Linked DNA regions of Drosophila melanogaster. The protein of the gene in region 1 interacts with the protein of each later gene in a pairwise test. Each region holds a gene or a part of one and is shown on either strand. Other genes may lie near its edges.

What was found.
Region 2: the proteins of CG42779 (region 1) and CG11007 interact in a two-hybrid assay, tested with the Drosophila melanogaster proteins (one large-scale study listed by BioGRID).
Region 3: the proteins of CG42779 (region 1) and CG42263 interact in a two-hybrid assay, tested with the Drosophila melanogaster proteins (one large-scale study listed by BioGRID).
Region 4: the proteins of CG42779 (region 1) and Pex3 interact in a two-hybrid assay, tested with the Drosophila melanogaster proteins (one large-scale study listed by BioGRID).

What each region holds. Positions count from the first base shown.
Region 1 is NT_033777.3:17,118,457-17,122,587, reverse strand, and holds CG42779 (uncharacterized protein), read right to left. Parts: upstream 1,012-4,131; 5' UTR 996-1,011; coding exon 810-995; 3' UTR 501-809; downstream 1-500. Other genes in the region: CG34278 (uncharacterized protein), read right to left, coding at 1,834-2,109; cher (cheerio), read left to right, coding at 3,434-3,851.
Region 2 is NT_033778.4:19,500,748-19,505,907, forward strand, and holds CG11007 (uncharacterized protein), read left to right. Parts: upstream 1-2,320; 5' UTR 2,321-2,440; coding exon 2,441-3,256; 3' UTR 3,257-3,847; downstream 3,848-5,160. Other genes in the region: CG16926 (uncharacterized protein), read right to left, coding at 1-112, 182-305.
Region 3 is NT_037436.4:19,953,640-19,958,191, forward strand, and holds CG42263 (uncharacterized protein), read right to left. Parts: upstream 2,161-4,552; 5' UTR 2,114-2,160; coding exon 1,969-2,113; intron 1,909-1,968; coding exon 1,814-1,908; intron 1,765-1,813; coding exon 1,608-1,764; intron 1,553-1,607; coding exon 1,461-1,552; 3' UTR 908-1,460; downstream 1-907. Other genes in the region: CG42655 (uncharacterized protein), read right to left, coding at 1-19; CG42654 (uncharacterized protein), read right to left, coding at 156-235, 293-455, 507-592, 653-688, 751-871.
Region 4 is NT_037436.4:15,142,011-15,147,505, reverse strand, and holds Pex3 (peroxin 3), read right to left. Parts: upstream 3,152-5,495; 5' UTR 2,957-3,151; intron 2,838-2,956; 5' UTR 2,725-2,837; coding exon 1,567-2,724; 3' UTR 1,127-1,566; downstream 1-1,126. Other genes in the region: CG32147 (uncharacterized protein), read left to right, coding at 3,497-3,709, 3,796-4,257; Pdi (protein disulfide isomerase), read left to right, coding at 5,053-5,206.

The DNA.
Region 1 (4,131 bases):
AGGATTTGCCAGTCGTGTTTGTGTTGTGTTTTTTTAGAGAGAAACGTGCTCGCCACGCCAGGAATTGTGTAATTAGCGGGCCATCAAGTGTTCAGTATTAAGCACCCCCACTAAAGTATTACAACTCGAGATCATTCGACAGCGATCCCTATCAACCAACAGAAAAACCATCGATATGGCGTCCAGAAAAGTGAGTTTTTTTTTTTGTTGTTTTGTGGGCCTAGGGTGGCCCTTATCCGATCGGCAAACGTTGCATTTCACCCACACGATTTTCCACGATATATTCACGACGAAAATGGAGGACATGTGGTTCTCATTACCTGTTCATAAAAACTAAATATTTGTCAATTTATTTTTAGTCCAATGGGCGGTCGAAATTTGCTCACTTGCGCCTTCGCTGTGCAAATGTTGGGTGTAATTTTAGTTTCAAATAAATTCAAATTAATTAAAATGGAAGTGCAAATTTATTTAGCATTTCATTGGCGGCGTTCGTCGACGCTGATTCATGCGATTCCCCAGCGATGCAAGTGGCGCCTCACGTATTCATCGTCACTTGGCCGCCGTTTTTGGCCCGATTTGAAATGTTTATTTCCATATAAGGGTATCCTCAGCCAGACGCACTTGTTCCATATGGCCAGCTGTCCCCGAGCAGCTCCACTTCCTTGTGGAATGTAGTGAAGGTTTCGAGTCCAAAATATACGATTGTTATACGCATTGAACCTTGTAGAAGTGCTATTTAGGTGTTTGAAGTTTTTGGGATTGTTCTATATTTTTATTTTACTCAAAAATATGAATATTTTGAAGCCATATTATTTATAAAAGAAATATAATTTCTTGGCGTCAGCTGATTCACATGGAGTTGCTGTAGTTGTTGCCGGTATTTCAGTTGTACTTGCAGAACCCCAATCAATGTTCTCCGTTGTTGTTGTTGTTGTTGCGGCAATTGCAACAGCTACCATGGTGCACAAAAGGAGGAGGATGGCAAAAAACTTCATGTTGCTAACTTTAAATCGAAACTGATATTTCACTCAACATATTTTGCCCTTATATACGAATAAGACTTCAGAACAATTGTTAACACAAGTGCTTGCAAGATTTGATGGATGAAATGGTGGATGGAGTGATGGATTAGGACAGTTGAGTAAATACTCTAATTTGCCTTTCCAAAAATAAATGTACACGTGGCAAATGTTTAGCACGTGTAAATATACAGTACACGTTTTAACCGGATTGGTTATGATTTTCTTAAACAAGTGCTTTATATTAATTATTTAAAGTATTTTAAATCGTAAGCTGAGTTTATGAGGAACATTAGCATTAGCTAGAGCTTTGTTATTTACCTAACAAATTAATCGTCAACTTATACTCGTTAATTGTAGAGTATAAGGGTATACTAGGTTTGTTTAAAAGTATCTAAAAGCTATAAGAAATCGTTTTCTAACTTATATAACTTATTCTAACAGATCTCGGAAACAATAATGCTAAAAAGTTAACAGTATTATTATTATTGCTATTATTATTATGCATAATTATTAATAATTATAATGATTCTATAGAAGTAGACGCAGCGCAAGTTGGTTTTAAAATGATGTCTCGCCCACTCTTACGTCATAAACTATCGAGAGCTGAGTAACGGGTATCAGATAGTCGAAGAAATCTACATTCCTCTTCTTTGTTTTATTTATAATTATAGTTATATTGCAAAATGTCATTGGTTAACGCTTGGTAAACCATAATTTTAAGGCTGAGTAAATCATTAAAAATGGCTAATTGATAGGTCTAAAACTTTTTTCACTTTATTGCTTCAGAATAATTAACCTAGTTAGAATTAATTTAGTAGAAGAAGTAAAGTTTCTTGCCGCAAAGGCCACCAGGACCTCCCACGCAGGGCGGCAGTGGGGGAGGGACTTGTCCACAGGGTCCTTGGGGTCCGCTGCCACATGGAGGCTGTGCCAAGGGAGCTAGGGTAGTGTCAGATGCAGGGGCGGTAGTGTCCTGTTCCGTAGTTGAATCAGATCCGTAATCATAGTCCGCAGAGGGTGACGTAGAAGCAACCATGGCAAATCCTACAATGCCGCAGAAGAGGAAGAGAACAGCGAAAAACTTCATTTTGATAACTCCGTAGATGCAGTGGTAATTTACTGCCAAAACCTCGCGAATATATACTTTTCCTTTTTGGCTAGTCAAATATTATGACAATTGCGAAAAATTTATTTTCCATGACAAGAGTAAAAAATCTCATTAAAAGAAACAATTGGGCAAACATCAGAGAACGTAATCATGGAATTATTTTATTGTCTAGATATAGATTAGCTTTGTTTTTGGCGAGTAGTGTGGTTAGGAAAGTGAGTGCCTTATAAGGATAACTCCCTTGGGGAATTTCGCGAAGGACTCCACAGAGCCAAAAAAAAAAAAAAAACAACATTACTCATACTCATCATATGTATGTACATAGCTACCCGTTTTGACTTTGACTCATTTGGCTAAAATTAACAATTCCTAACCATATCGAGAAGGTCGCTGGTTGTCAGCCCCATTTGCTTGGCTCATTCACTTGTCTGGCCGACGCCGTGCATTTGCTTCTGCCTTTCGTTTTTGCATTTGATCAGGCGGAAAAAAGGGGGAGTGGAATTAAAAGGCACTGCCAAAAGCAATCCTCAAATATGCCAAATATTTACCAGAATTATTTGCTCTTCCCTGGTCATGGGCGTTGGTGTGGGTGTGCAAGGGGATCATGAGTCACTTTATTTGGGTTCACGTTCTGAAAAAGGGTCGGGATTTGAGAATTCCAGGGCTTGGCCCCCCTATATATACGAATATAACTACATACATATATACGAATGGTAATGCTGCCGACTAAAATAGCAAATATTTTTAAACATTACCAATGGCTTTTGTGCACTAAAACGAATAAAATGAATCGTTTTATTCTATGACTGGTTTATTAGTCACTGATTTACTGGGTAATATTATTATCGCTCCGAGCTTACGCTTATGCTACTAATGTTGTTTTGATGGCAGATTAATATTGGGTGTTTTTTAAAATTTTAAATAAATATAAAGTAAAAAAAAACATAATGGAATTGAAATAGAAAAATTGAATGGAATGGAATAATGTCGTATAAACCTGTTATATTTTAACAAAAAACTTTATTTTGGGTAACCACTCTTTGAAAAGCCGATTATTATTGGTGCATACTTTGGGGCATATCGAAGTTCTTATAAGTTATAAAATATACATATTTAACTTTACGCTCTCACACTGAAACTGAACTTGAATCTGTTAATAATTTTCTTTCGAAAACTGGTTTTGTGTGCTGGCTGAGAAAAAGACATTTTTAAGAGAACACAATTCTCAAAATGTTAAAGAGAAAGAAAATGCTCTCTTGTTTTATTTTTTGTTTGCCGCTCTCTCGCCCCTCTCTTTATTCAGCAAATCAGCTGATATGGCGGATCCGAATGCCGGTGATCGGCGACAAACTTCAACGTTTAAAAATAAGAATTTATTTAACGGTGGTACGTGCTCGAGTAACAACGCTGACGGTCCCGGATCGGCAAATTTAACGCACGGCGGTGAATTGGTGCAAAACGCGAATTATACAAACGGTCAAACGACGCAGGCGACCATATTCCTCAGCAACAATAACAACAGCAGTAATACGGGCAACCACTACTACAACAACAGCAACAGTCACGGCAGAAAGAACGCGCCAAATTCGCAGCAAAATCAGCAAAACGCGTGTGTTTATACGACCAGCAATAGCAACAATAACAATTTGGAGCACAACTTTAGCAACTTACATTTCTACGCCCAACAGCCAGCCGCACACTACGACGTTTGCCATCAACAGGTGTGTGTGTGTGTGTGTGTGCGAATAGAGTGCGGCAGTGTGCGTGAGCCACAGGCGAACTTCACTATGATGAAGTTTCAGGAAACTCCCGGTCATTCGAAAATTGATTGTCGCGAATCAAATTCAAAAATCAAATTCCCTTAATCGAAGTCTTTAAAATATTCCCTTATTTTACGTTTGAAAAGAATGAAAGATAACCGTAGATTTTTAGGAATTCCTAGGAGTTTATCATTCTGAGAAACACCTTTTTTTTAAAGGATTGAATGCTACACATTAGAAG
Region 2 (5,160 bases), on another chromosome or scaffold:
TTATCTGCGGCAGCGGACCTCAGACGGGCGATGATCAGCTCACGTTCGTTGAATTGCTCGCGAATCTTGCAGGCTGCGAATGCACCTTGTGGAATGGCGGCCATCTTAACAACTGGAGGCGGAGGAGGAGCATCAAAAGTTAGTTATACATTGTAAATACATGGCTAAAATCACCACCCACCACTTAGGGAAATAACGCTCAGAAGGGAGATGATGAAGTCAAAGTTTCGCAATGGGCTTGTATTCCAGCACTCGGTGAAATGCTGATCGAGATTGATGATTTTTCCGCACTGCTGCAGCAGCATTCAAAGGCCAAACTGAAAGTCCGGAAAAAGTTTGTGGGATAGGGGATATTTCGCTTAGATCGAAATGTGTCCCAGTTTCTTTGGTTTTTGTTTTTTATCACAATTTCAACTATGAATCAGATTAGGCCAATTGGAATGGTTAGCTTTGCACGATGGATTTGGCATTTGATGCCTGTCGTTTTTTCTGGGATTTGCTCGATTGTCTGCGATTGTCTATGTCTGCTACTCGGAGATGAACACTCAGCACAAGGGTTCGGATTTAAACTGAAGACGTCGCCTGGCTGGGAATGGAATTTATAGAACGCGTGTTCGGATCGGATCGGTTCGGCTCGGAGCTGCCGCCAAGTGATAAGCGGGAGACAGGAGATCAGGCTGCCTTGATAGCGCGATTATAAAGCCGGCAAGTGATCGCCATTTTGTGCCACTTATCAGTTGCAGTTGTCATTGTTTTGGTTTTGCCTTTTTTTTTGTCATTTCCACACACAAGCCTATTTGTTTCCAAGCTCTACGGGAAGTTTCGATGGGGCTGGGAAGTAGATTTGTGTACTTGATATGGCTATCAGAGCCCTGGATCTATAGACCAGTTTTGCTTTTTAGCCGCAGCCAAGATGAAGGGCTCTCGTTCCCATCACGAGTGTCCCTGTACTCAAATGGCTGACAATCTTACGAGACTTTATTCCAAACCAGATTAATCCGGCTGCCAACACACTATAGCATGCTGGCAAAGGCATTTGTGATTATAATATTATTAAAAACTGACCTAAGTGCACGTTGTTTACTGAAATTTTCACTTCATTTTTGTTTTGGCGCAGACAAGGTGCAAAAGCATCAACACCTTAGATTTGACTTTGATTAGTCATGATCTCGGATTTTCGAAATATTTTCTGTATTGATTCCCTATTTCATTTCTATCAAGTTGTACAAAACAGTGCACTTGAAAAAATCTTATTTTGTTTTAAGTTAATTGTTTTTAATATATTATTACCAAAGACACTAGAATTCTTATTCTATTGTCTTATTCTAGTGTCTTTGTTAATACTTTTTTTACTATAAAGTGAATGATTGGTTGAATTTAAATATAAAGCCACGAGAAAGTTGTTTGATTCGATAAGGAGGTTACTAATAACACAGTTGAAAATATTCTATAAATAGAAGCAAGCTCACTTTATTTGCCAGTGTATTGAACATAAAATAATCGCTGTATAAACAAAGAACGGCCTACTAGTGAAACCAGTAAAGAGGTGGGTGATCGATCCGATGGGGATCATGGAGATGACCCTCGTAAATTGGTCTCAATAATACGATTAAAAATAAATCGTTTAGTCCAGTGACGCGCACAGTGTTTACTACAAAAAAATTAATCTTTGCACAACGCGGAGAGTCAGCCACGATGGCGATAATACTGGTGATGCTCTATGAAGTGGGTACAAAATTCTCACAGTATTCACACAGTTCCAAACACATTTAATTTAGGAACTACAAAAAAAAAGGCCAAAATAATATTTGGGTGATAAGGCGACTGATGGAAGCCACGAGCGTCTGAGATCACGTAGAGAGCCAAGCTTTTTCGCAGATTTGAACTCGGCGTGTGTGCCGATAATGAAGATCCTCGATGCCTTTTTTTTACCTTTTTTTTGCAGTGGCCTTTGTGTGCTAGGTCAACAATCTCTCAATGACTTTAGCAAAATGCTGATGTAACAATAACTCGCTTATCAGTTTCGGTTGGTTTTCGGGCAAACAAATATGGTTGTCCCAAGTTCTGTTTATGGTTTTAACTTTTGATTAATTATCATTTAAAAAAAATGCTAAATACTAAATACTAAATACTTGTAAGATAATAATGCATATAAGTAAATAAAACGTATCAAAGAACGTTTAAGAAAGGCAAACTGTTAATTGATGATTTTGAATTTGAAAAGGCGCCAACGAACTAATACCATTTCCAGCACTGACAAGAGTGCCACTGTTCTTTTATCAGGTGGCAACGCCCGTGCCAGACAACTAGGCTGCTAATTTCTAGTCAACGGCGAGGCTAAAATTAACAATTGGCTGTCAAAAGCAAGAAAAGAAAAACTCGGGAAATTGTTAATTAAAATCGTGACCCAGATCAGCGCATTCAGCCCCCGGACGCAGAGATGACGTGGAAGAAGCAGATGGCTCTGCTGGCCAAGCCATACTACTGGGTTAACATACTCCTGGCCATATCGTACCTTTTGGCCAAAAAGACGCAGTTCATCTGCACCCGCCTATTTATTCTCGCCGGAGAGGATGAAGCATGCGACCTGGACAGTCGTGAGGTGGAAATCTTGTTCTTCCTGCTAATCGTGGTGATGATACGGTCACGCAAAACGGGCAGTGTCACCATGATTAACTACTTGGCCTCGTCGTTCCTCTACACCAAAGTGGCCAACGCCATTTTGTGGGCCTACGCGGACTTCCGCTACGGCCTGGGCTTTCTGCTTCTATGCGTCCTGGTGGGCATGGTGCTGCCGGAGCCCTCGTATCGCGGACCCGAGCACATCACCTACTTCCGCAACGCACAGGTCTTCGAGGAGGAATTGGCCAGGGACAAGCGAACCAGCTGGCTGATCTGCTTCTACACGGTGTGGAATCCCAGCTGCGTGAACTTCGCCCCCGTTTTTGCTGAGCTCTCCGCCGAGTACAACACGGACCACCTGAAGTTCGGCAAGATTGACATTGGACGCTTTCCGGACGTGGCCCAAAAGTATCGCATCTCGGACAGCAGCTTCTCCCGACAGCTACCAACTGTGATCCTGTTCCAACAGGGCAAGGAGACGGACCGCAGGCCCTGCGTCGATTCCAAGGGTAAACTGCAAAAGTTCTTCTTCTCCAGCGACAATGTGCGCGCCACCTTTGGCCTTAACCAGCTGTACAAGGAGGCCATCGAACGACTACCCATTGCGCCCAAGGAGGCCAAGAAGGTCCAGTAGGCTGTCCTGTCCACCACTGGTGCCATCTCATTTCTGCGTGCACGTGCTAATAACTGTTATTCGTTTAGTTCATAGTTTATTTTAACTTATTGAGGAGCTGCCACCGCCAAAGACACGTACAATTGCACTAATATTTGCATTCTAAACTCAGACGTGCTCTCGTCGCGATGCCATTGTAGAAAATATTTGTATGATCTTGCATTTGCATAAATTGTAGCTAATCACCAGGTACCAAATATATTTAAAAATGTGAAATGAGTCAACGAAAATACGCAGTTCTTTTTTAATTCCCAGCCGAGTCTAACATTTCATTCAATTAGCACAGCTCAAACGATCATTTCCGGTGCTCGTTTAAGAACAAGTAAATATTAAGATGGACTGGACAAGCGTAAATTGAAAGAATGTAATAAAGAACTTACGCTGTATACAAATAGCTAGTAAAATAGTGAAAATATAGAGAATGAATATATAGTTTCAGAAAGGTGCCCATACTGGTTTTCGGTACAAATGTATATAAAGTGTTTGTGACAACCCACAATTTTATGACATATTTATTGTATTTTATACGTTCTGACTTGCCGCTTAAAACAGAAACCTTCGTCGTATCCCCCCGGTTTATGAAATATAAAACCAAATGGGCCCGTTGTTGCTGCCAATGTGTTGAGCAAAATTGTATGGCAATGCAAATGGCACAACAAAAATGTTTCCGGCGTGTTGCGTTCTGTTCCGAAATGGCCCCGCAGACATCGGCCATATAGACAGATCGTATATGGATATATATATATATATATACATAAGAACCCAACAGGCCAGACGCAGAACGAAATAAACGCAAATCCCTTTTATCCATTCAATATGAACACACATACGTATAGAGAAACGGACGAATTTAAATGCATAAATACAGGCGACTGCACACCAATCACCACCCACCGCACACCGCCCACAACCACCCCCCACAGATGTGAGCAAGGCCTTTGTGGTTAATATTTGTATTTTTCTTTACTTTCATTGAAACGGCATGAAAATGGCCATTGCATTTTACGTGAATTGTATATGGTAAATAATGCGATTGTCTCACACGGCCGTTTTATTTGCGGAAAATTTAAATTCGCCATGGCAATTGGGACAAGATTCACACCGTCCTGAAGTAATTATGGGCCACTCTGTATCGCCCCAACTCAGCACCCGCAACAACCCAGACCAGTTGCCCCACACCCATTCCCACCAACCAGTAATGATTTCCAAAGGCTGTCACCCGCTTCTCACGACGAGAAATCCAATAAGCACTTGCTCCGCAGCGGCAACAAAACGCATTGTTGTCGCTATTTTCACGTTGATTTCCCTTATTGCCACGGGAAAACCGGTGCTGGCCACATTCAATTGATTTTGAGTGATTTTTTGGCAAGTACCCTGTACGTACACCGAACATGGAATCTTATTTAAGGGGAATATTGGTAAAAATAAGTAATAGGTATGTACGTTATTTTAAGGCTTTTGCTTTGAAAGAAAGATATCATTTAAAGTATATTCCAAATATTTTAAAGGATATTTTAAATGGTGATATGTAAGAAAATCATAGAATATATTTTCTTTTTATTTTTATTCCTTCCTATTTCATTTTACTGTGTATTGTTACGTCTGCTCCGTTTCGGTGGCAGTATTTTTATTGCGTTTTTATGTCAACACCAGCTGGCAGCGTCTTAATATCCTTCGGTCGAAGTGCTGGATTGGGTTCTTGTATATTTCTGTCAATTGCTCACAATTAAATTAAAATTCAAGTCAAAGCCAGCCGCCATTCAGTTTGCAGAAAAAGCCGCAAGTCAGGACAATTGAAGCCAAGCTCAGGTGCTTTTCCTTACTATTTAAAGTGTGGCGCTTAAAAGAGATTAAATAAATCAATT
Region 3 (4,552 bases), on another chromosome or scaffold:
AATTTTCCGCTCGCCACATTTCATTAAACAATTGTTTTTATTTACATGTAATTTCTTTTTGATGACGATTAATCCAATGCTATACAGTTGCAGTTGTGAATAAAAAACAAATTACTTAAATACTACGTGTAAAGAGTTATTCTCCTTAGTAGTTATTACTCCATATTTTCAGTTTCCCTCGGTTTTAATTGCCGATAGTACGAATATATTATGTACATGAAATACGCTGTCATTGCTAAAATAAAATAAGTTATTTACTTTTCGTTTTGTATATACTACAATTAGCTCCCACTTAGCCAAAGAAGCACGTAAATCCAATAGGTTAAATTATGCCAAGTGCTCTCATTTATTATTAAATTCGAACCCATAAGTGCTGAAGCTAAACTGAAAATAAGAAAGAAGACTGCCTGAAATGCTTGAAAGAATAGAGTTGTCCAAAACAGCCAACCATATTGCTAAATACATATATTTTGTAAAAACCATCTTTAATTATATTATATACATACCGATAAGACTGCAAATATTAGCATGAACGATGCCAAGATAGTTAACAAATCGGGAGACATTTGTATCACAGTGTAGAGAGCTTGTTCTGGGTAATAAAACTAGATTATCAAATGGAATCATTGGAACTGCTTAGTCACTAAATTACCTGGGAATTTGTGCTGCATTTCTCTGAAATAGGTTCCTATCAAAACATTAAATTTAATGCAAAAAATAATACTAATGCCAATGTGAATATATATTTACTATTTAAACAAAGGAGCATATAGTCAATGTTCATGCCAGCCAAAAAAATTCCAGCCAATGCAATCAGTATACATCCCATTTGCAAGGATATACAGAAGCAAAATTTTTTAGCCAGAATCATAATTTCAGACGTTTTGACAGGAAATGCAAATAAGATATTCTGCAAAATATTTTTATTTTTAGAATTTCTTTTAAGCCTGAATGTTAAAAAATTATACGTATATTTTAAATTATCAAAACAATTCTTTGTTAATTTCAATGTACAAGATTTGTTTATGAACCACAAGTCGTATACGTAATTTATGTACATTGCAAAACTTTTAAGCAAATACTCATGTTTAGCTCGCCCAGATGATGGCGCCAAATTTAAACGAAATTGCCTTCACATTTTCCGCCATATCTTCTTTATTGTGGTATTAACTTTTTTGCATAATTACAACTTAAGCAATCTGTATTATGGCCTCATTAGCATTAGCCTAGAATTTCCAGCCCGATGTGTGTCGTGTTTGTCAGGCACGCGTGGAATCGTTTTCAGTTCTCATCAAGATGCTAATGAAATTATAAAGAAAATTGAGTCTGCCATATTAGCACAGTAAAAGCATCATCCTCTCACTTGATGAGCATGGGGTAAAGAGCACGAAATGCTATTGCTTTTCATCATCTTAAAAATCAATTTCGCTGATCTCAATTTAATTTTTAAGGACATCCTCTCATTTATCCACACAAACTGGTCTGAATTCATCTGGATGCGCTTTTACATAATAATACGTGTAGACTTTGAGCAAACAAAATAAATCGATTCCTGAAAAGCTGGAGCATAACTTACGAGAATAGAGATTTTTAATATATATGTTTACCCAACGTCACTAAATTCACGAAAACATAAATAATCGCAGAGACAGCACTTTTAAAGAACGGATTGCGAACATTTATCAAAGCATTGAAGATGATGTAGTACGATATCATATGAATGATGAACATGGCCATCCACACGAAAACGATCCTTAAGTACTTCTAAAAGGAATTTTATTAGAATTAAAAATATTGGAAGTGATTTTCTTACCGTCATAACAGATATCAGCAGGATAACTGCAGCTGCGATCATCAGAGCTATATGAAATACATTGAACCATTTCGCATAAACATCAGTCTTGAGTGCTGGTATTTGGGTTTAGATGCTGTTCTTAAAATTCAGGTTTCCTTACTTTTCCAACTCACTGTTCTTGTATATAACCTCATCCACAGTAGTGCCTGCGTTAAGGAATCCGAAAAACAGTGTGTAGAATGAAACTATGATGCATCCAGAAGTCAGCGAGATGCAAAAGCAAAATTCTTGTCTGACCAGCTTTCTTAAAAATGGCATCAAAAATAGGAAAAATACGTTGCTATAAATTTTAGAAAATACAGTTCCATGTTTGACAAATAATGCCAACCGCTTTCAACTTTTAAACTCCATAAACTTCAACTTTCTTTCCATCAGCTGGCGAAACTGAATTGCTGCATCTCCTCTGGTTTTAGGTCACTGCAGTCTTCTGTCATTTTCAACAAAGTTTCGAACGACCTCGACCTCCCACGGAAACTTTAGCCTTTCGGAAAAGTTAGACAAAGTCCCTTGGTCTCTATTTTTTTCTTCATTATTATCCCCTGAGCAAAGTGAAACTGCTGCCTTTTCCTTGCCTAATGCGTTAATTGAAAGCAGCAGCCGTCTAAAAATTATGTTTTCAATAGACTGGAAAATAGGGGGTGATTTCCGAGGCTTGGGGTTTGGGATTATTAAAGATAGCTCGCATCATGGACTTACTTGAAGTGTTAAAGAGGATTTGTGTTGGCAAAAGTTCACTAATTTAAATTTAGTTCAAACAGTGACAAAATATGTTGCAAAGGGAATGCATTGGGCTTAAATTCCATAAATTAAAAAAGATGTTATTACCAAACAAGAATTGATTGGGTGGCTCAAGGGCAATATTTCATGGAAATGTGAAGACGAAGCCTAATAAGACAATATTAGATGGTGGTTTACTAATGAGCCTAATCAGATTAGTGTATTGTTTCCCAGACTTGATTATCTTGGTGCACCATATGGTTGATTTATTTTTGATTGATTGCAGCATCAATTTATTTGTCATCAATACCAACATGTTGGTGTTGATGCCCCATTAAATGTCAGGGAGAAAGAAAAAAAAAAAACAGAAAGTAGAGTAAGTTCAAAAAAAGGACATGTCACATATCATAAGCACCGCTCGAAGCTCCCAGCCAATACACAGATCGATGGAATCTCTTTCATCCACTTCCAGCAGCCACTGGCAGCTCATCTATCATCATTGCCACGAGTCCTTTCTATCCCGGAATGCTTCCACAGTATCCTGTATACTCTCTGCCCCGCTTGACACCCTTGCACCCCATCCCTGCCGTATTTATAGCATCTTAATTGAATTTCAATTTTCAATTTCGCTTTTAATTGAATTCAATGAAAAAGTGTCGATGAGACGGTATTCAGCATTGGTCCCATCCCCATCCCCATCCCCATCCCCATCCAACCATCCGTCCATACCCCCAGAACCCCATCCCAGCCCACTCCCATTCCCTGCACTTGTTGTTGATGCTGTTTATTCAGCTGCCAGTTGAGCACCGCCTGGCTGCCTCTTGATGGCGCCATTCACGCCACAAAGCGTACCGTCCCCACTGAGCTCCCTGCACTTAGAAAAAAAAAATCATTACCATCCTGGTCATTAAATATCAAACGGAATTAGCCATATTATTGCGAAGTCCGTATAAAAATAAAAGAAAATAAATAAAGGCATACAGATGTAATTTTATATTTTGGTATAATTTTAAATAAAAATGCAATCATTCGATTTTTCTGTGTACCTTCGAAATAGGTTTCAAACACCCAAAAACGAATTGTTTTTTGAAATTGCTGTTCCAATTATTTGATCCACAGCAAAATTCACCTGGTTCGTTAATTTAAAAGTAGAAGAATATTCGTTGATAGTGTATTTACTATTTAACAGGTTGAATGGAATATATTCTTGATTAGGATCACTAGCCGAGTCGATCTGGCTTTGTCCGTTTATCTGTCCGTTCGTATAAGCGAAAAATCTTTCATTGCCGCAATTTAAAAATGTACAATATAAATAAATGTATTGTATTTTATTATTGTATTATTGAACTAATTGTTTCTCACCAACTTATATTATTATGGCAAACATATTGTGAAATTTCTCCCTCGCACTCCCGCTATCTTAGTAAAGGGTATCTGCTAGTCGAGGAAATCGAGTTTATCGTTTGCTCTTCTTTTATATTGCTTATTATTAGTTTTATTGTTCGTTATTAATATCTATTTCTATTATTTATTTTAAATGTATGGTACTCCTTTATGATATCCTTGATTTTTTAACAGGCCTCTGATTTTTCCCAGTGCACATTTAGGTGTACTAAAACGACCAACAAATGGCTGGATGTGATTGCGCTCATATTTTGCACTCTGATTGGTTTGTGATTGACTGAAAAGTTGTAAATTGATTCGACTGTGGGCAAGTGTGTACCAATGCCAGATAAACAAACCAATTTCGGTGGTTAGTGGGTTCAGCAATAAAACACCCAATAGTTGATCCCCCACACTTGCGGGCCCATAATTGCGGTCGGTGGTGTTTGATGTTTTACAACGATAATTTAATCACAGAACTTACAGTGATAGTAGGAAGCAAAGCCCTTGGGTTTTCTCACCAGTCAGCACCTTAAATTTCCATTAAGAATTCCAGAATAATGTCGACATGTGCCACATACATCATAATGCCGTTGG
Region 4 (5,495 bases), on another chromosome or scaffold:
GTCTTAATCAATATATTTTGTGGTCGGCTAGTAAAAAGTTGATGGGCTAAGTGGGCTTTTAGCCCCATCGACTGGTTAATAAACATTTTGCAAGTGCACTTACACAATTGAGCCGCCGTTGTTGTTGTTTGTTTGTTTGACGGTGGGCTTTCCTCCTTTAGCTGGCTTTTCCAATTTGTGTACTTTTTGCAGTATTTCTCATATTTGCACACTCGGTTTTAACTTGGCTTCGAATCAGTTATTCAATGCATTTCTTTCATTTTTGTATATTTAATTATTTTTTTTACACCAACACATACGCAAAGTCTCGCAGGGATGTATAAAAGTAACTGTTGTCCTTTGCCTTTTCACGTAACTTTTGCAACTGCGCCCAAAATGGAAATTTTGTACCAGACAGCTGGGCACCCGAAGGAGTAAGAGAGACGGATGTGAAGAGAGAGTCCTGCGAGAGCGAACAAGTCGCAGAGGGGCGAGCGTGATGTAAATGTATCTAATTACTTTCACCTCCTTAAGCATAAACTTGGTTCAATTTATGAAATCTTTTAAGTTACTTTCTGCTTGATAGTTATTCATAATTGTTATATTATAATGAATCTTCGCACATGCGGCATTTCTGCGCAAGTGCTTGAAGAGAGTGAACAAGGGAGAGAGCGGCAAGAACAAGAGAAATGGCAAACAAACAAAAGCCACAGACACAGCTGTCTTATCACAGGGCGGTTTTCTGCCACCCCCTTTTGACTGATAGCAAAGACAACCGTTACTTGTGGGTTGTGTCTTCGATAATTCAATTCTTATATTTTTATACATATTAAGCATTTATAACAAGAGAGAATGCTATAGTCGAGTTCCCCGATTATCAGATAACCGTTGCTCCGTTACTAAATTAATATATTATGTACATTTAAAACCGCAAACTGTTAGAAACTTGGAGGAAAAAGTATATAAGAATCTCGTATATCTCCGACATAATTATTGAATTTATTTCTTATTAATTCAATACAAGTATGCACCTATGTACGCATGTATAATTTATCATTCTATAAATCAATATCTGTTTTAATTAGCTGTAAGAATAAAAAGAATAAGTTCCTTCAAAAACTTTAATATGCAAAATAATAGTCTTTAAATACGGGGAATGCATAGTTTATTAGGTTGCCATTTGTTTACACTTCCTTTAAGATTAAGACCCAAGCTTTCTAGCATGGTATAAATAAATAATCTGTCACTTATCATTCTATTAATCAATTACACTTTAAATTACATTTTCATATAGTTTGGATACTAAACTACCCTCAGGTCCATCCTATATGATTCTCTCATATGTTGCATTTCCTAACTTTCCATTTAGATTAAAAGGCCTTCACGTTACTCGATTTGTGTCCCTGCCCTGAAAGGATTCCCCGTGGACGAAGCTAAACCTAATACGGGTTGGGTTCAAGCAGACATACAAACAATGCTTCTGAGAATACAGATCTTATTAAAAATATACAAGTATATAAACTATAATTTTCCAATTGTCTTAGCCTAGCCTATGCACGGATGCATAATCCAAGTTTTGTTGATCCTCTAAGCGGAGCTAAAGCTTTCGTAGACGTTGGCCCCCAGCGTCTTTGTCTTCTCGGCGACCACGTAGAAGGTTAGCAGTTGGGTGGGCAGATTGTGGGGTCGCGAAGTGGTATCGAAGCCTCTCGAGGTGAGACCACTGATGATAGGAATGAGCTTTGCCAACGCCAACAGCACTCGGTTGATGTTCAGCAAGTTATTGTTCTCCAGACCGTTTTGGCTCTTCGAGGTGCTGGCGCCTAAGCTTCCTGCCTGGTTAAACTTGACGCTCTGTTCTTGCTGCGTTTGGACTTTAGCTTGTGGCAGATGCTGCAAAGTTTCGCCCATGCTTTCGGCGATGGCATCGCAGGCCAGCACAAAACCACGGCTTACATTGTGCGAGCACACGCCAACGGCATCCTCGCTCTCCAACAGATCCAGCGTCTCGTTGACCATCTTTTGCAGCAGCGGCGAATGACTGGGATTCTGGCTGGGCAGCAGATACTTGCTCATTCGCGAGTTGGGATCCCGACGAGTGTCCGCATTGATGGCCATTTGCAGTGACCAAAACAGTTGCTCCAGGTCGCTAAGGGAAAGCTGTTCGGAGAGCGGTATGGTCTTGGTGACTGCGATGACCTGGGTGCGAATGTAACGGGCTAAGTCCCGGATGCCCGAATCCGTGATAAAGTGTCGGATGAGGGAGAGATACTGCTGCTTTAGCTCGTCGGTGACTTGTTTTTGTTCCGTCATGATGTCCCGATAGATGTAGCCACCGAGAAGATTTAGCTGGACCCTCAACGCAATAACCAGCATGGAGGAGGCGTAGACATAGGTTGCCAGTCTTGTGAATGCCACAATTTTCATGTCCTCCCAAAGTTCCAACTTGTTCTTGGGATTCTGGCGCAGCTGCTCGAGCAGCTCGTCCGTGCTGCACTCCCTCAGAACCGCTTGGCACATCTCCTCGCCCATGCCTAGGATCACCTGGTTACACGTCTTCTCCGTCGACTCAAAGTGGGTCGTGCGCCGCGTTCTCTCGAAGAATTCCCTGGCCTGTTTCTCCTGGAACTCCACGAATCGCCGTTGTGCATAACGTGCCGCAAAGATGGTACCGCCCACCAGAACGCCGGTCACTATGAACTTTCGCCGGTGGCGTGACAAGAAGTCCTGCAGGCGCGACAGCATGTTAACGATTGGAAAAGGCCTCTTCTGCCGGATGGACAACTAGAATCCGCTTCCTGTGTGAAATAGGCCAACTGCTGTTCAGATATCCCACTTTTTCCCGCTCCACCGGCGACCTGTTCGAGGTTAATAAATAGTTAATGTGCAAAGTTCACCTGTGTGCGTAGGGTGGTGCGCTGCCGGCGTCGCTGCCAACAGAGGAGCGTCCTCCACTCATCCGCAGCGATTAGATTACCAGGTAGTGCTCACCTATATACCCCTGCTCGGAAACTCGGATCTGGTGCGCCGCCTTATCGGGTCGATTGCTGGCCTTTGGATCGGATCTAGCTCTGGAATGTATGGAATGGATTTATCCTTTGTTGTTGTCGCTAAATGTGTTATTTCTCTGTTTGGTGCCGCATACTGCGTCGTCTGTTTCCGTTCAAGAAAAATCCCAAAAGTGCGAGGTTCGGGAATACCGAAAAATACCATTTCGTTTAGTATATTTGGTGTTACTGTTTAAATTTTTATTGAAAATGGGGATGCTTTTTAGTTATTTATTTTTTCGTTATTTCGAAGTGGGTTCAAAAAAAAATAGAAAATATAAAATAATGTTAATTCACCTATAAATGACGAAAAATAAAAAACTTCGATATGCTCCAATTTCCACCGTTCCGCCATCGTCGCAAACATTTGAAACGCATGATTCAAAGGGTGAAGAAGAAGATAGAAATCATATGGTATTTAAGATAGTTCTGTTGTTGGTGGGGGGTTTAGTTTAGTTGGGGTGTTTGTTATGGCGTCGTCAGATCGAAAGCTCATTGTAGTCTCCGGATTTGGTCCATTTCTCGGTCACGAAGCGGTCAACGCCAGCTGGGAAGCTGTGAAACTGCTGCCGGAAATCCTAACTCACGATGGCATAGAATATGATCTGGAAAAGCGGTTGGTTTCGGTGGAATACGGGGCTGTGGACGAGGCGGTGGCGGAGATTTGGAAACGCCAGCCATATGTAAGCATCGCAATTGAACCATAAATAGATAGAGGCCTTATGATATCATCTTTCTCCCAAAAAAATAAAAAACAAAAAAAAAACAGCTTGTTATCCATGTCGGTGTTTCGGGCGTTGCCAAGTGTGTATACATCGAGAAGCTGGCGTACAATCACAAGTTCCGCCGAGCTGATAATTGTGATAAAAAACTGGCCAACGGCACTTGCGAACTACCCAACAATGGACATGCAAATGTCTTGAAGACCGAATTAGATGTGGATAAGATTGTGGCGGTTGTAAATGAGAATTGCGCCGATTGTGTGGGACCCACACAACAGCCGACACATAATGATAATCTCAAATCCCTGAGCGCCACAAAGGCATCCAAAAATGTGGGTGACTTTCTCTGCGGCTATATCTATCTGAAATCGCTCGATATGGACAGAAAACGAAGCCTGTTTGTCCATGTACCTCCTGTAGATAGGCCATTTAGTAGTGTTAAGACTTCGGAAATACTTTTTAGCATAGTCGAACAATGCATTCAACAGGTGGTCGCTTTTGACTCCTGAATTCCGCAAAATATTCTTCCAATATCTGTCTTTTTAAGAATTATTTACATGTGTGCTGTTAAGTTGTTTAAGAAATGAGTTTTATTCTTTTTAAGATACAATATTTTATATTTACTTTTTATTACAATGAAACAGAGAAGCAATACAACTGCATTAATAATTACACAGTCTTTTTTGCGTTTACACAACACCAGTCTTTATTTTAAAAAGGGTAAATGACATAAAGAGAATGACGTAAGTTATTTAAAATAAAATTTAATAAAAAAAATGAATTAAAAAGAAGAATTATAAGGCCTTTACAAATTGCCTTATGTTAAATACAAGTTAACTTATATACAATACAATACGATACTATTTATATCACAATATTTTAAAATTATGGTATTCGAAAAAACCGTAATATTTAAAAAAAAAATAGTACATTACTGAATTAGTTAAATATAAAAATAAAACTTCAAATATATAAACGAGATCCTAAACTAAAAAAATTTACCTTCGACGATTGCCAACCTTTGGGCACCCAAGCGCCACCTACAGTTCAATGCTCATTCATTGACAAATATCGATATTAGTAAAATTTATCGGAAACTTGTAGAGAAATACCAAAAATCCCTCACCTAATTCAGCTTTATATGTATATATCTCTGCGTTTCACTGTCACTTGAATTCATTTGAATTTCTACTTGCAACCGGGCAAGTTCAGCGCAGTTCGAATCCCAGTTTTGGTTGGCGAGTGTGCTGCACCCACATAGGGCAATAGATTCAATAAATATCAAACGACGACGAGTGCCCGCAATGAAATTCCTGATCTGTGCACTTTTCTTGGCGGCGTCCTACGTGGCCGCTTCCGCCGAGGCGGAGGTCAAAGTTGAGGAGGGTGTTCTGGTGGCGACGGTGGACAACTTCAAGCAGCTGATTGCCGACAACGAGTTCGTGCTGGTCGAGTTCTGTAAGTACATGCTTAGATCGAAAATAAGGCACGAAAATCTCAACAAAATGTGGCAAAAATCGAATATCAAAATGCGAAATGCGCCGGCCGCTAGCGCGCTCTCACTCGCACCCGCTGATTCATGCGGCTTAGCGGCTACGTGGTCTTTCAAAGCGTCGGAGAAAATCTGTCTGCGTGGCAGTTGTTGTTGACTTGAAATCTGGACTATCATGTTGCACGGCAAATCCTAGTTGATCAATGGGCCAACTGACAGACTAGTTCCAATCGGCGGCCTGGAAAATTTGTTTAG